2 linked regions of the Pelodiscus sinensis genome follow. Each later gene encodes a partner of the first gene's protein in a complex. Links are inferred from orthologs where the notes say so. Each region holds a gene or a part of one and is shown in the gene's direction. Other genes may lie near its edges.

Region 1 (7,975 bases):
CTGACAGAAAATAATCTTCGTCATAATTCAATGTGTCTATGCATGCACAGTATTTATTCCTATAAGATCAAGAACACAGGACATGTGAAGGTGTGCCAAAAAGCATGTTGACTACAATATTGGTAGCTGATACCTTTTAGGTACCTTTCTTACTGGAAATTTTAGCAGCTGCATACGTTGTTTTTGAGGCTTTCAGGATCAATTTTTCAGAAATAACCTCCAAATTTGTAATTAGAATTATACTCATTTTTCAGTTGTCCAAGTTTTGACACACACTTAAATACAGATGTGGATGTTTGGTATTCACAAAACACTTGTTTGTGTTAGACATTTAAGAATTCTTAACACACACTCTAATTTAGGAACACTATAAATCTGCAACTATTGTGAAACCTCTTAGAGTTACTGGCTTAGTATTTATCTGAGAGATATTTCAAATTTTATTTATGTGCCTAATTAACCTTTCAGTGGGACCATTACATACTTAAGCTAAGTAACTGATAAACAAAACAATAAGTCATTCACACAAGTTCTGAAAGAACTCAAATAAAAAATTGTAGAATTATTAAATAAACTTCTGTACCAGAAAACTGGAGAATAGTTAACGTAACATAATTTTTTTTAGAAAATGCTTCAGTGGTGATCCTGGCAATCACAGGCTGTTAAACCTCCTACCTATTAATTTCAATAACTAACCCCTGGTTCTTGGGTTATATGAAGATGTAAATAACATTTCCTTATTCACTTCCTTGTACTTGGCCTTTATCATAGCTCTCTGTAGTCATCTCTTTTCCAATCAGCATAGTTCCAATCTTTCTAATCCCTCTTCATATGGATGTTGTGAAGGCTGAAATTATCACTGGGTGAAAAAAAATTAGATGAAGTGCTGGAAGATGGATCCATCAACAGTTATTAGCCAAGATGGTCAGGGCTTCAACCCCATGTTCTAGATCTCTCTAAACCTCTGACTGGCAGCAATTTGGACTGGACAATAGGGGATGGATCGTTCAACAATTGCCCTGTTCTGTTCATCCTCTCTGAAGCACCAGGCACTGCCCACTATCAGAAAATCGGATATTGGGCTACACAGAACATTGGTTTGACTCTATATGGCTGTTCTTATGTAAGCACGAGCTTGAGGGTACATCTAAGCTGAGGGCTAAAGTCAAGTTAAGATATGCAACTTCAGCTATGTACCTTAACTTGACTTTTGGTGTTGTTTGCATAGAATACTCTTCCTTCAACTTCCTTTACTCATCGTAAAATGTGGGTTACAGAAGTCAGGGTAAGAAGCCCATTATTTCGAAATCATTTTGAAATAACAGGCTTGCTATGTAGATGCACACTCTTTTATTTTGAAATAATGTAAGTTAATCAAAATAAGTGTGCAGTGTAGACATAGCCTGAGTGATTTGATGGATCAAGGCAGAGCCAGAATTAGCATAAACAGACTAAGTGACTAATTAGGGCCCTGAGCAGCTCAAGGGTGCCTGCTATTCACTTTATTAATTATTATGAATTATTGTTTATTACTGGGGAAGCCAAAATATTCCTGCTTAGGGTACCCAATGGGCTAACACTGCCTCTGGATTAGGACCTGAGAGTTGAGCACATGGCAGGATCAATTGAGACTCAAATTATTGTGTTTTTCACACATATTTTTGTCTAATCATGAATGCTGCTGATAGTTTGCTTCCTAATTTCTGTCTCTGAGCTCAGATGACTGTCATCAGGGCAGCACAATTAAAGGAGTGGTACTTAGGCTTCCTTCTTTTTCTGCCAAAGTGTCAGCAGGGAGTATCCCATGTCCTGCAGCCTCAGGAATGCAGTACAATCTGTCCGACCTGTTGGTGAGACCCAAGGGATTATTTTTAAAATTAAAACACAAAAGGCACTTGCTAAACTTTCATATTAAACTAGCCCCACAACCTTCCATTCTCCTCTGTATCTCACACATGCACTCATCTTTATAGCAGTTACCTTTGTACAATTATTTTATACACACATGCTTTGACACATCTCTAGTTAGTTACACACATGGGTAAGTGAGATCAGAATCAGGCCCTCAGAGTACTTTTAATTTCTGTATCTGTCTTTTGCAAGCAGGTTTATAGTACAATCAAAATTCTCTTGGAAATGTAAAAAGTTTCAAAGCAAAAAGATAAATTTATGAAGTTTTACATTAAATCATTGCAATTATACAAGACAACCACAATTATTTCATATATTTATCTTAAGTATTAATATGCTTAAATATATTCAGTATTTTGAAATCTACAATAATTGTCGACTTCTCCCAGAATAAACTTAGATAAGCTATATTTAATATTACATATGTATTAATAAGAATGTAATACACAATTTCATTTTAATGTAAATATTTTTCTTCCTATTTGAAACTGAATAGCAATATAACAGAACAAAACTCACTTAAACAATTGGAATAGATTTTTCCCACTTCCTCCCAAATTACTAATTACATCCAAATTGCTACAATCTTTGAGGAATGTTATGCCAGTTGCTCTGATTGCTTCTTCAGAATAGAAAACGTTGAGTTCCTGATGGACTGGTCTCTATAACCCCCAGACTCAGTTAGAATCAGTATGGTTTCCTGGAAGAATGGTTATGCATTTCTGAGCTCTTCAAGACAAGCCACTTCTCAGGAATGACCATTTCCCATCTTGGCTGTTTACAGCTTAAAGTGGGACAATGTTGCTGTTATTGCCAGACCCAGTGAAATCATAGAATCATAGAATACTAGGACTGGAAGGGACCTCGAGAGGTCATCGAGTCCAGTCCCCTGCCCCCATGGCAGGAAATGTCTTGCTTTGGGCCAAATCCTTGAGCCCATGTGAAAGCTGTGGAAAGTCCTGAATGCTGGTGAAACTGGTGCTGTTATAATGTGGTAGAGAGGCATACCTAGTCCTGGTCTACTGTACAAAGTTTAATCATGGGAAAATAGAGAGGCATTGCTACTGCTCCAATAGCCTAGAGTTCCCCAAGAACACATTGGCTATGTCTACACTGGCCCCTTTTCCGGAAGGGGCATGTAAATTTCACTAGTCGTCGTAGGGAAATCCGCGGGGGATTTAAATATCCCCCGCGGCATTTAAATAAAAATGTCCGCCGCTTTTTTCCGGCTTTTAAAAAAGCCGGAAAAGAGCGTCTAGACTGGCCCCGATCCTCCGGAAAAAGTGCCCTTTTCCGGAGGCTCTTATTCTTAGAATAAGAATAAGAGCCTCCGGAAAAGGGCACTTTTTCCGGAGGATCGGGGCCAGTCTAGACGCTCTTTTCCGGCTTTTTTAAAAGCCGGAAAAAAGCGGCGGACATTTTTATTTAAATGCCGCGGGGGATATTTAAATCCCCCGCGGATTTCCCTACGACGACTAGTGAAATTTACATGCCCCTTCCGGAAAAGGGGCCAGTGTAGACGTAGCCATCTATTTTACTCAAGCTGCGTACATATATGCTAGCCCATTAAACTTATATCTTTAATCTCCCTTTATTTTGGAAGGTAATAATTAAAGTGATGGATTTTCATTTCCACGTACACCTTTTCACATTCTAGACTCAATTAAATTCTTATTTTTGGGGGGTGTTCATGCATTCAGAGTCACAAATGATGCCCTGACTTTGGATCAGAGCCAAATGGGCATGCTGGAGTTTTGAGTGACCATAAGTTGTTTCTCCTCTAAGAAAAGTTGCTGATGTACTGCCCAGCCTTCTACATAAGGGTTTGCATTTAGAATTTACATTTTAAAATTAGATTTCAAAAATTCTTTCAGATCTAATAAATATAAGTTGTAGCAGCAACAGTTAAAAATGTAATATATACATTTGAAACCTAATAGTTTCTTTTTAATAAGAAAAAGAAAGGTTTTGTTGTTTTGTATGTTGCAGGATATTGGTCAGACCCATTAAAACTATACTGACCAGAAAAATAGATAGATAGATTGATAAATAGATAGAATGAACTTTTTTGCATTCACTGATATGGAAATTTAACAGATTAGTGATTGATGATTTTGAGTTACAAGAACATAAAATCCTTTCTGGAACAAGTACTGAGCTAAATTCAGCAAGGCTTGAACAACAATTAGAGGCATGATTCCAAGAAAAAAGTTGTGAATGGCTCAAGCACCTCTTCAGAAGTAGGCTTCAAGTGTGGATGCTTACTGAAATGAATATGGGGAAAAACTTCAGCTAGAATCTCATGAATCTCTAGTCTGCTTTTGATATTTCCACTTGCAGCCACATTCAGGAAGAGCACAAGAGACATAAACCTAACATGATAACCTTTTCCAATGTTCTTCTCAAAACCTGGGGGGGGGGGGGGGGGGGGGAATTAAAACTTGGCTTGAGTTTTGGGTAAAGATCCAGGTTTGCTAACATTTTAAGTTATTTTACTACCTAAAACCACAAAACTGACAGGAGAAATAAATGTGTGATGGCTATTTTTTTCAGGCAACCAATTTTGTTACATGGAGCCAATAGCAATGACAGGATAGGCCCAAACCAAAATTCTGGGTCTGATCCAAACCCCTCTTGAAACTATTCTGTTACGGATTTGAATTTTATGGCTTCCTCCCCTATACTTTCTTATCACCAAAAGGAACATAAATCCGAGCTCAGCTCTGAGCGCCAAAAGGGCTACGCCCAGGCCGCATTCTGCAAGTAAGCCAGCAAGGTATGCCCCAGCAAGCAGCAAAACCACCCCCAAGCCTCTTCCAGTCAGGTGTCCCCTCCTTCTCAACAAACACTGAGTTTAGCGGGGATGAGCCGGGACAGAGGACTGGTGCAGTTAGAGCAGCTGGTCATAGCAGCCGAAGCTGCAGGAAGAGGAGGGACTTGCTGGGTTTCAGCCTAGTTGGCTCTGGGTGCATCGGAAAAGCTGCTTCACAGTTACATGTAACCTGCCCCCCTCGCCCTGCCCCTCGCAGCGCCCCGTAAACACTGCGCAGAGAGGCGCCGAGCACGGAGCCGCCGCGGCCATGTCTCAGCCAAGTAAAGGGAAGAAGCCGCCCTCCTCCAAGCCTGCGGGGGCTCCAGGCAAGGGGAGCAGAGCGGTAAGTGTGGGAGCGAGGGCGCGGGCTAGGGCGGCGCCCAGAGCTCCGCGCCCGGGCTTGGGGTGCCAGCGGGGCTTGCTGCCTGCTGCGCGTGCCAGGCCAGAGGAATGCGCCAGCGCCCCGCAAGGGGGGAAGGGGACTGTCCGGCTCAGTCCTCTTGCGGCCACGGGCGTGTATGGGCGGCGGTGGTGGGGGGGGGGGAGAGGTTGACAGCCCCGCTGCGGTCTGTGGGGAGGGTGTGGTGACAGCCCAGGGGCCTGGCAGAGCGGTGGGAAGGGAAGAGCCCAGCGCAGGCCCGGTGCAGGGGGGAAGGGACGCGCAGCGCCCTAGTCCCCCAGAAGGCAGGGAGGGCGCTCCAGGCCGGGCTGCCCTTTCCCCAGGGCTGCTGCGGGGCAGGCGGGCTGCAGTGGGGCGTGTTGCGGACTGTCCCGCTGTTCCTAAAGCACCGAGGACTGAGTGGGAGGGCGCGGCCTCGCCCGCCCCTCCTCTGTCTGCTCCTGCCCTGGAGCTCCAGCTCCGCCCCGCAGCCAGTGCCAAAGCGCCAGCAGCTGGGGCAGCCCCAGCTTGGCTCTACCGCCCTGAGACTGCGCTGAGAATCGCTCCGGCTGGGCGGTGGAGGAGAGGGCTATTTTGAAGGAGGAACGCGTTCCGACCATGGCCTTTGCAAGCTGGTGGTATGTGACGGTAAATAGAGGCCGCTTTCTCTGCTGCTGACAGTGGATTTTAATCTCTTGGGCAGGGCGTGTGGCCCTTGCCAGCGAGTGTCACTGTGGGTCTCAGCAATAAGGGTGTAGGGAATGGGAGAGCCTAATTTGCCCCACCCTCTGTTTGCGAAACTCACCCTGTTTTTGGCATGTGAGGTACCATCGGGCTCACTTTTGCAGCTTAGATTTGTTGTATTCTGTTTTTTAAAAGTATTTAAAGTATTTGGGACTGCAGGGGAAGGAATGAGGAAGCAACTGTTAGCTATGTCAAGAAAGGACTTAGGAGCCAGCCTGATTCCATGTTAAGTTAGACACACTGATGCATTGATTATGTTGTTCAGAAGAATAGTAACTAACAGTGAACGGATCAAGTAACTAAAGTGCTCACTATATTCAACTTAAATTAGTAAAGAAGTATAGTTTTGTGTAGAAGATGATTTGATACTTTGAAACTTTTTAAGTAGATGTTAGTTTCTCTAGATAATCTGTTATAGTACATGCCTTGCAGTTTCACAGGGACTTGCATAAATTCATTAGTGAAGTTGTCACATTAAAAGTAGCTTTGTGAATGTTGCTGTTAATTTTTACAACCTTTTGAAAATACGGACCCTTTTATGTTCTGGTCATGACTTTTGCACATTGTTGGTATGTCACAGTAAATAGAGAGTGCTTTCTCTGCTACTGACAGTGGATTTTAATCTCTTAGGCAGGGTGTGTGGCCCATGCAAGTTAGTATCAATATAGATATCAGTAATAAAGATGTAGTGAATGGGAAAGCCTTCGTGCTAAAGGTTAGAAAAGTACAGATGGTGCAGGCCTTATGTAGCTCTACTGCATTCAGTAAAATTACAGGCAGTCCCCGGGTTACATACAAGATAGGGACTGTAGGTTTGTATTTAAGTCGAATTTGTACTTAAGTCGGAACTGGCATCCAGATTCAGCTGCTGCTGAAACTGACCAGCAGCTGATTCCAGGAAGCCCGGGGCAGAGAAACTCTGCCTCCGGCTTCCTGTAGTCAGCAGCTGGTCAGTTTCAGCAGACCAGGTAGACGCGGAGCAAAGCCGCCGAGGACCCGGGCGGGACCGCGGCGCCTCTGGACGCTCCCGCCGCCCGGGTCCTCCATGGCTTTGCTCCGCGTCTCCCTGGTCTGCTGCCCGCTCCCCTCCCCCCAGCAGACCAGGGAGACACGGAGCAGCTTTGCTTGCCCCGGAGGACGAGGGTGGCGGGACCTCGGTGCGTCTGGGCGGTCCCGCCGGCCGCATCCTCCGGGGCGAGAAAAGCCCCGTTCGTAAGTGCGGTTCGTACATAAGTTGGATCCGCATAACTCTGGGACTGCCTGTACAGGGGTGTATGAATTTGCCCTACCCTCAGTACAGACGCTTTATGTAGATCCATTCAACCAAAACAGAGGGTGGGACAAGATAAGCCTGCCCAATCTTTATGTAATGGAAATGTATGTGGCCCTCTTTCTTATGTTAGACCCCCTTTTCTCTTGTTATGTTTTATTCCTATTGTTGTGATTAAACACTATTTTGTTTTGCAAAGGCTGTTTATGTTGTTGTTCACCACTGATCAGAACTTCCAAAGGGAAGACTTGCATGGCATGAACTCCCTCAGGCCTGCTGAATAATCATGTTTGATTCATTAGGGGTGTTCATGGGATCATCTAAGTGTGGAAGAATCATAGCATTCCACCCCAGGCCAGCTGATGACAAGAGGCTTAACTCCTGAGGGGGATAGAGAGCAAGAGAGGTCAAACGTATAGCTAGCTCTAAACCATGACAGGGATTGTTTCTCATATACCAACAGTATAATTCTGGTCCTGGTGGAAAGCTTAACACCTATGGTTTATGGGTTTTTTTTTTTTTTTTTTTAGAAGTACTGTTCATGATACATTAGGTAGTGCTTCTCTCTTTAAGCGCTTTATCCAACGTCTACTGAAGTCAGTGGGAGTTAAATCAGGACTTAATTCTATTTTGGTCTGTAGTTCAGTATTGCTTTAAGGACACTGAGATGCTGGAGAAGGACGGGTAAACAGGTATTTGAACATCTTACATCTCTTCACAAGAAACCTATATGTTAAGTCTGCTGTTTTGGCCAGATTCCACCACGAAAAATAGTTATTCTGTCTACCTAAATTCTGCCTGTGACTTCATTTGAAGTTATGATTCATGTCTCCCCAAAACTTTTGGTTGTCTACTGATC
Region 2 (7,826 bases), on another chromosome or scaffold:
GGTCTCAATTCACAGTGATGTCTCCCAAGGGTTACAATCCATGGAGGATCACTTCACTCCCCCAGGATTTTGAGCTAATCTGTGTGAACACACACACAGGGAACCGATGGGCTTGTGGTGTGGTGTAACGTGAGGCTCATGGAAGGGGGCCTGGGGCTCAGGGACACTGTGGGCAGGGATGACTGACTGCCTCTCTGTTTTCTGCGTTCTCTGCAGCGGAACCAGCGGGGAGCGAGGGATCCTCCAGCCCTGCGGTGGTGGCACCAACGACCCAGGCACCAGTCCGGCAAGCCAGGCAGTGCGATCTGCTCCTCCCGTGTCACATCCAGGCTGTGGAGCGGATGGGGGACACGGTTAGCAGCAAGCTGCGGGCTGACATGGAGTGGTGGCAGCCAGAGGCGTAGTGAGGGTGTTATGCACCTGGGGGCAAAGGAAAAATTTGCACCCCTTCCCCCCTGCCGCCATGTGACACAGCCTTGAACCTGGTGCACAGCTGAGGGGAACTTGTACTGCATCTTCCCATGAGCAGAATGAATTTTGTGTTGTGCACCAGTACTGAGTTCATGGGGCTTGTTTGGATGTGCCATTGTGGAACCCAAGTTATTAATAAATATTTTATAAACCTTTACTTTTTCTCTCTGCTGCCATGTCTCCTCCCCTTGCTCCATCAGCTCCCCTGGTGCCTGCTGCCCCTCAGCTCCTCACCCTCCTCTGCTGTCCTGACTCCTGCTCTTCTCACTGCCCTCCGCCCTCCTGTGACCTGCCCCCCTCCACCAGCCCTTCACTCCCCCCTGTGCCCACTCCTCCAGTAGCCCCACTCTGATCATGTGAGCTACCGCTCCTCATTCCCTCTCCTAACACCTCCCTCTACACACCTGCCCTGCTTCTCTGCTCTGGTGCTGGTCCCTCCCCTGCAGGTGTCTGCCCTTCTGCTTCACCCCCAGAATCCCCTGGCACCTGCACTTTCCCTTAGCCCTGCATCCTCCTGGTGCCTCCCCCTTTCCTCATTGCCCCTGCCTCCTTTGCCCTCTTTTTCCCTGATGCCCACCCCCTCACCACTCTCTGCCCCCATTGCCCTCATGCCCCTCTGTGCCCTCACAGATGCCTTGCTCCATCCCCACCTTTCACATGCCCACCCCTTCTTTTAAGCCTTCTCCCAGCACCTCCCCCTCCGGCCCCCAATGCCCTTACCCTCTCCTCTCCCAGCATCACCCTGTCCCCCCTCCCACTGGCACCTCCTCTCCTGCCCTTTTCCTATTTGTCTCCACTTGGCCCCCTGGCATTTGTCTCTCCTCCAGGCTGTCCCTTGGTGCCTTCCTCTCCCAGCTCCTCCCCCTCCACACAAGCCTCTTATTCTCCCACCCCTTCCTCTTTCCGTCCCCTTCCCCCTGCGCACAAGCCCCTTCCTCTCCCTCCCCCTCCGCACAAGCCCCTTCCTCTCCCACCCCATCCACCTCCCCTTCCGCACAAGCCCCTTCCTCTCCCGGCCCTTCCCCCTAGTTTTCCCCCTTCCCTGCCCTGCCCAGTGCCCCCCTAGCGTGGCGCCCAGGGGCAATTCCCCCCATGCCCTCCCTTTGCTACGCCTCTGGTGGCAGCAGGCGTTGGGCCAGTTCCTCCAACACTGCGATCTCATGTGTGACACCATCTCCACCCTCATGTCGCACATCAGCCATGCTGTGCACTCTGGCATGGCCTGGCACCCATCCTGCCTACTTCCCTGTGATGCCTGCCCCAACCCGGCCTGAAGGACGCCGAAGCCTTTGTACCCGCAGAGGCACTGGCAAGAGCTGCCCCTCCCAGCAAGAACTCCCCTCCCAGTTGAGAGTCCCATCCTCCTCCCCCTCCCAATTGGGAGTCCCCTCCCACTGCCCACCCAGCAGTCTGAAGGTGCACCCCACTTGGTTGCGGGCCCGGTTCAGGTATTGGTTGAATGTTTCCTGGCAAGGGTCCATGTGTCCAGTGTATGGCTGCATCAGCCACAGCATGAGAGGGTAGGCCGTGTCCCCCACAATGCACAGTGGCATGTGGACGTCCCCAACCGTCAATTCCTGCTGGGGGAAGAAAGTGCCCGCTTCCATCCTGCAAAATAGGCTAGAGTTTCGGAGGATGCAGGCATCATGTACCCTACCCAACCACCCCACATAGATGTCCATGAAGTGGGCACGATGGTCCACAAGGGCCTGGAGCACCATTGAAAAGTACCCCTTCCGATTGATGAAGTGGGCTGCTCAATGCTCCAGTGCCCGGATGGGAAGCCCATTCATGGCTTCCCCGCAGTTTGAGAACTCCAGGGCAGTGAAGCCAGTCATGGTTGCGTCCACGTCCCGCAGGCGGATGACCCTCTTGAGGAGGATGTCATTGATGGCTCAGACACCCTGCAGAAGGGCACACAGGGAACACACAAGAATGGGGCAGGGTGGGTGTATAAGCCCTTGGGGGGGTGCCTGCCCTCCTGTGATGCCCTCTCCCCACCAAACACGCTAGGGCCCCCTTGCCCCGGAGCCTCATCCACACACACCAGACAGGCCTATGTGAGGGAGGAACGGCACAAGCCCCTGGGGGTGACAGGGCTTCCCCCATACCCTCCCAGGCTCCCACAGCCTGGAGTCTTCCCTTCCCCTGGGCAGGGACTGCAGCCCCCCCGAGGGCCTTACCTGCATCAAGACGGCACCCACTGTGGACCTGCCCACCCCGAACTGGTGTGCCGCTGAGTGGTAGCTGTCTGGGGTGACGAGCTTCCACATGACGATGGCGACCCTCTTGTTCATAGGGATGGTGGGCCGCAGCAGGGTGTTGCCTATGAGGAGCGCAGAGGTGAGCCAGCCACACAATTCCAGGAACATCTACTTCCGCATCCTGAAGTTGTGGAGTCACTGCTAGTCATCACATTGCTCCAGGACCAGCCGGTCCCACCAGTCGGAACTGGTGTCGAGTCTCCAGTATCGCCTCTCCACAGTGCGGAAGGGATGCCACAGTGAAGCCGCCACATCCAGGGAGAGGGAGTCCAGAGTGAGCTCGGCATTGAGCTTGTGCAGGAGTAGTGAGGCAGCATAGAGCAGCAGCTGCAGGCACTCCAAAATGACAGTGTGGGGCCAGAGCAGGCACAGGGCCATCCCTGGCTCCATGGCACAGCAAGAAGGCAAAAGTCCCCAAAAGCACTAGCGCACAAGCTGTGGTGTCCAAAGAGGAAGAGGGCAACCACAACAGGAACTGCTACAGCTTTCAATCCCTACCAGGAGTCCCAAAGCATGCAGCAGCAGAGAAACAGCTGTCCAGGGAGATTGCTTTAAGCACATGTCTCAGAGGAGCTCCAGCCTCCGCCCCCAGAAGGTCCCGGTGCCCTTTTGCCCTGTCTGAAGTGGTTCCGGGAGGGAGGTCTTTGCCCAAGAGCGTCCCACCAATGTGGTCGCTCTCTTGTGCAAAAGCGCTTTGCTATTGTGATGCGCTTTGACCACTGTGGACGCACTCTTGTGCAAGAACTTTTGCACAAAACAGTTCTTCTGCAAGAAGCCTGCAGTATAGACATAACCCTAATGTTAAGTTTGCTCCTTTTCCTGGGTATTTTGTACAGCATCAATAGCAAATGTTTCAAGATTTAAGGAACCCCTCAAAATGTAATGTGTTAACAGGAAAGGTGACAATAATCCCCTTAAATTCCAGAGGCTCCCAAAGCATGTGACAAAACATAAGCAGCACAGTTTCCATCACTTTCAAACACAGCACAGCCACTTTTGGAATGGAGGAGCTAAAGAGGAAATGAAATAAATACAAGCTTTATAGTCAGGACAGGTGGTACATGTGTCCCCTTTAGTTTAAGTGATAGAGGCCAGGGTGTGAGTTTTATTCCTGTTGATAACCCAGGCCAGACACCAAGACAAAGTGATAGCCCAGATAGGATTTTGACTCCTGGGCTGCGTTTAGATTGGCAAGTTTTTCCGCAAAAGCAGCTGCTTTTACGGAAAAACTTGCCAGCTGTCTACACTGTCCACTTGAATTTCCGCAAGAACACTGATGATCTCATGTAAGATTGTCAGTGTTCTTGTGGAAATACTATGCTGCTCCCGTTCGGGCAAAAGCCTTCTTGCGTAAATGCTTTTGTGCAAGAGGGCCAGTGTAGACAACACGGTATTGTTTTGCACAAAAAAGCCCCAATCGCGAAAATGGCGATCAGGGCTTTCTTGCACAAAACCGCGTCTAGATTGGCACGGATGCTTTTCCGCAAAAAGTGCTTTTGCGGAAAAGCGTCCGTGCCAATCTAGACACTCTTTTCCGCAAATGCTTTTAACGGAAAAACTCTTCCGTTAAAAACATTTGCGGAAAATCATGCCAGTCTAGATATAGCCCTGGGCTACGTCTACACTGGCCCCTTTTCCGGAAGGGGCATGTAAATTTCACTAGTCGTCGTAGGGAAATCCGCGGGGGATTTAAATATCCCCCGCGGCATTTAAATAAAAATGTCCGCCGCTTTTTTCCGGCTTTTAAAAAAGCCGGAAAAGAGCGTCTAGACTGGCCCCGATCCTCCGGAAAAAGCGCCCTTTTCCGGAGGCTCTTATTCCTACTTCAAAGTAGGTTTTGACCAGGTTTTGCCGACTTCTGATAGGGTGAGGAGGCTGTTCACTACAACGGACAAGTGTAAAGGACACTTGCTTGAGGGGGGACTAGGTAGTGGCCAGGCACATCCCAGCCAGGAGGATCCCACCTTAGAAAACAGGCAAGATGTGGGGGTGCGGGTGGTGCTGCAGCTCGCCCTGTGCATCTCTGCCCTACGGACACTAGGAGGAGGCTGCAGCTTTAAGCACGAGCCACACCCAATTTTTGCAGCAGTTCCCCCACGGATGATTCACCAGCCGGTCTGGCTGCTGTTTACTTCAGGTTCCCCACGTCCCCGCCGAGCAGGGGCAGCGCGCTCGCCGCGGCAGAGGCGACCATGTCAGGGATGGCAGCGAAGTTGGCGAAGGAGCGGGAAACAGCCCGGGGCTTGGGCTCCAACGCGAAGGCGTTTAAATACCTCAGCCAGGACTTCGAGGCGCTGCGGGACGAGTGCCTGCAGGCTGGCGCGCTCTTCCAGGACCCCGCCTTCCCCGCCGTCCCCTCTTCCCTGGGCTACCAGGAGCTGGGGCCCACCTCGTACAAAACTCAGGGCATCACGTGGAAGAGACCAACGGTAGGGGCGCGACCGGCCGGGGGTGAGGGAGGAGGGACAGAGAAGCAGGGGATTGGTGTGAAGGGCAGAGCAGAGCTGAGCGTGTTTGGCTGGTGGGAAGGCTGCGGTGATGGGGGGGCTCCTGTCCCCCCTCCCCCATACCAAGGGGGAATGTTGGTGGCAGGGAGATGCCTATAAATAACAGCTGGACTTTTCCGTGCACAACGACAGCTGCAGAGGAGCCCAGCCTCCTCATCGTAACCCCTGACCCCTGAATCTTAGGAGCCAGGTGTGTGTGGGTTGTGGGGGAGGGACACCTGCTTTGCGTTTTGCATTCGGGCCTTCTCTTTACTAACGAGCCAAACCTAGCCTCTGGGCTGGGACCACCCCAACGTGGCTGGGGATCGGTAGCAGAAGGCTCTACTTTTGTCTTGAGCCGGCTGCAAGAGATGAAATGACACCGGACTAGGTTATAGCAAAAATGCTGCTCTTAACCGGAGAGGGGGAAGTTGCATGAATTACAGAGCCCCAGGCTGCGAAGTCGAGGAGGAAGAACGTACTTTTCCCAAGCTCAGCACACAGAGCAGCGAAAGCTTGTCTGTTGCCTGAAAACCTCCCCCCCCCCCCCCCCCCCCGAAGAATGCACCTTACTGACTCCTACTCAATAGGAGCAGCCTGCTAAAGGACCAAGGGAGGCACCTCTGAGATGCATGGGGCAGTCCCTCGGCCAGGACCTAAGAGTGCAGATGCACTAATGGCTCAGCGATGTGTAATGGGAAAGTTAAAAAAGTGCTAATTCTGTTTGGATTTATTTAAACTTCTCTGGGCTAGAAAAGTAGCTAAAAAGTTTATGGAAACTATGGAAATGTCTGGGCTTGCAGTGCTGATGCTTATTAATAAACATGAAGGTTAAGTCTCTGAATTTCACAGATTCACTTCAAGGACCTCTTATTTATATTGCTGTAGGGCAGGAGTGTCCCCACAGAAGTCAGGGGAGCTATGTTGATAAAAACTTGGGTCCTGATCTTCCTCCTGCAGCTATTTAATGTTTATTCCAGATACCTTGCTCTTGGCTCATCTTGAGTTCAACACAGTAACTGTGTTTACTTTAAAGACAGGAGTCAGTATTTGAAGCCACCCAGGCAATGACTGGTTTTCCGTGCAAAACTCGATGAAGGGCAAGACTCAATAATCCTCATTCACATTCTATTGCCCTCCCACAATGTGGTCAGTTGAAAACAGCTTTTTTTAAATATGTAATAGTGCCAGGAGGCTGTTCTCTGCTGTGAGTTAACTCATTTGTTTGCATTCCCAAAATACATAACTAATTCAGCATGGTTTGTTCATATTGAACAGGTGTAAACAGGTATGAATTCATGTCCCAGCTCCTACACTGTCCCCACCCTCAGATCCACTCCCCTCTACAGCTACACAGGTCTCTGGTGAAATATACTTGTCAAGTTTGAGAGGTATTGCAAGGACTGTATCTCCATTACCATCTATTCTTTTTCCTTCTTTTCAGCCAACTAATGTTGCTTGCTCCGTTCTTCGTTTTACCAGTCACTGAGAGAGTCTTTCTTGCTTCAGTTTCCCTATTTGCACCCTTCCCCCTAGACTTTCTAGATCCCCTTCTTTCTACCCTGATTGATACAGGGAGGTTATATTTTCCTACCAGCTGTGCAGCATCCCTTATCACTTTGTTTATTGCCTACCTTTTGCAGGGGTACAGAGGAATAAAGTTGGTCAAAATACTCAGAATTTTGCACCTTTTGCAAAGGGCCACATTCATCCTTGGTGTAGTAGGAGCTACATTATGGAGGAATTTGGCTGAAAATGGCCCCAAAAGAGCATTGAAACTGCTCCAAGAACAAATGGAAAAATCCTTCAGGGCTAAGAGCCAAACAACTAAAGCCCAATCAATATGCTTTCCTATGAAGGGGCTGGCCGCAAAGGCCTCTGTTTACTCAGGAACCACTCTGGACAGTGGTGCCACTTCAGATTTGGAGGAGGTGGCAACTTTAACTGCGATTTCAGGGGATACTAAGGCACTTCAAAACATTTAATTTTTGGCAGATAGCTTGCAATTTGCTGACAGGAGCACTGTATCTTTTTATCTCTCTCTGTGTGTGTGTGTGTGTGTGTGTGTGTGTGTGTGTGTGTGTGTGTATATATATATATATATATATATATATATATATATATATATATATATAGGGAGAGACCGACCGACCCCTGTTCATTCAAGAACTCTTCCTAAACAGTAAGACCTAGGACCACCAAATTTGATATGTGGCTTCCTTTTGTCATAGCTTAAAGGAAGTTCTGGGTTTGTTTGCCCCAGGGAAATGTGACGTGCCTGGAATGGGACTGTTTTCCATGACATGGAAAGGGAGGGGGCTGATTATAGGAGACTTTTATTTAAAGTGAGCACTGTGGGCAGCAAGCACAGGAGAGAGCTATAATGCAGAGTGAATGGGGAGGCAGCGGAGTGGCCACCTGGGCCATATGACTGGCCACCAGAGCACATAAATGCCCCCTGCCCCCAAACAGTGCTACCAAGGGAGGGGCATCTATGCACACCAGCCCTGCTGTCTCTGCGCCCATCAGGGACCAAACCTGAGAACGCGGCCCATCCCCAGAAATGTTGCAAGTTGGAGGGGCACTGGATGCCAGGCTGGCCTCC

The links.
Region 2: the proteins of CAST (region 1) and calpain-2 catalytic subunit are in contact, whole or in part, in a crystal structure (PDB 3BOW), measured with the Rattus norvegicus proteins. The link is inferred for Pelodiscus sinensis from reciprocal best matches to the Homo sapiens genes CAST and CAPN2. Residues at the interface, in NP_445747.2 of Rattus norvegicus: Glu571, Leu572, Asp573, Ala575, Leu576, Asp577, Glu578, Leu579, Ser580, Ser582, Leu583, Gly584, Gln585, Arg586, Gln587, Pro588, Leu596, Asp597, Asp598, Lys599, Val600, Lys601, Glu602, Lys603, Ile604, Lys605, Ala606, Glu607, His608, Ser609; in NP_058812.1 of Rattus norvegicus: Glu62, Leu63, Ser68, Lys69, Gln99, Gly100, Ala101, Leu102, Gly103, Trp106, Lys161, Asp162, Leu165, Leu166, His169, Ser196, Gly197, Gly198, Thr200, Ser241, Asp243, Ile244, Thr245, Asp249, Ser250, Glu251, Ala252, Val253, Val259, Lys260.

The regions. Positions count from the first base shown.
Region 1 is NC_134716.1:70,618,704-70,626,678, reverse strand, and holds the start of CAST (calpastatin), read left to right. Parts: upstream 1-4,764; 5' UTR 4,765-4,991; coding exon 4,992-5,066; intron 5,067-5,608; exon of another isoform or gene 5,609-5,740; intron 5,741-7,975.
Region 2 is NC_134713.1:155,231,667-155,239,492, forward strand, and holds the start of calpain-2 catalytic subunit, read left to right. Parts: upstream 1-4,798; 5' UTR 4,799-4,927; coding exon 4,928-5,164; intron 5,165-7,826. UniProt on the Homo sapiens protein: Calcium-regulated non-lysosomal thiol-protease which catalyzes limited proteolysis of substrates involved in cytoskeletal remodeling and signal transduction. Proteolytically cleaves MYOC at 'Arg-226'.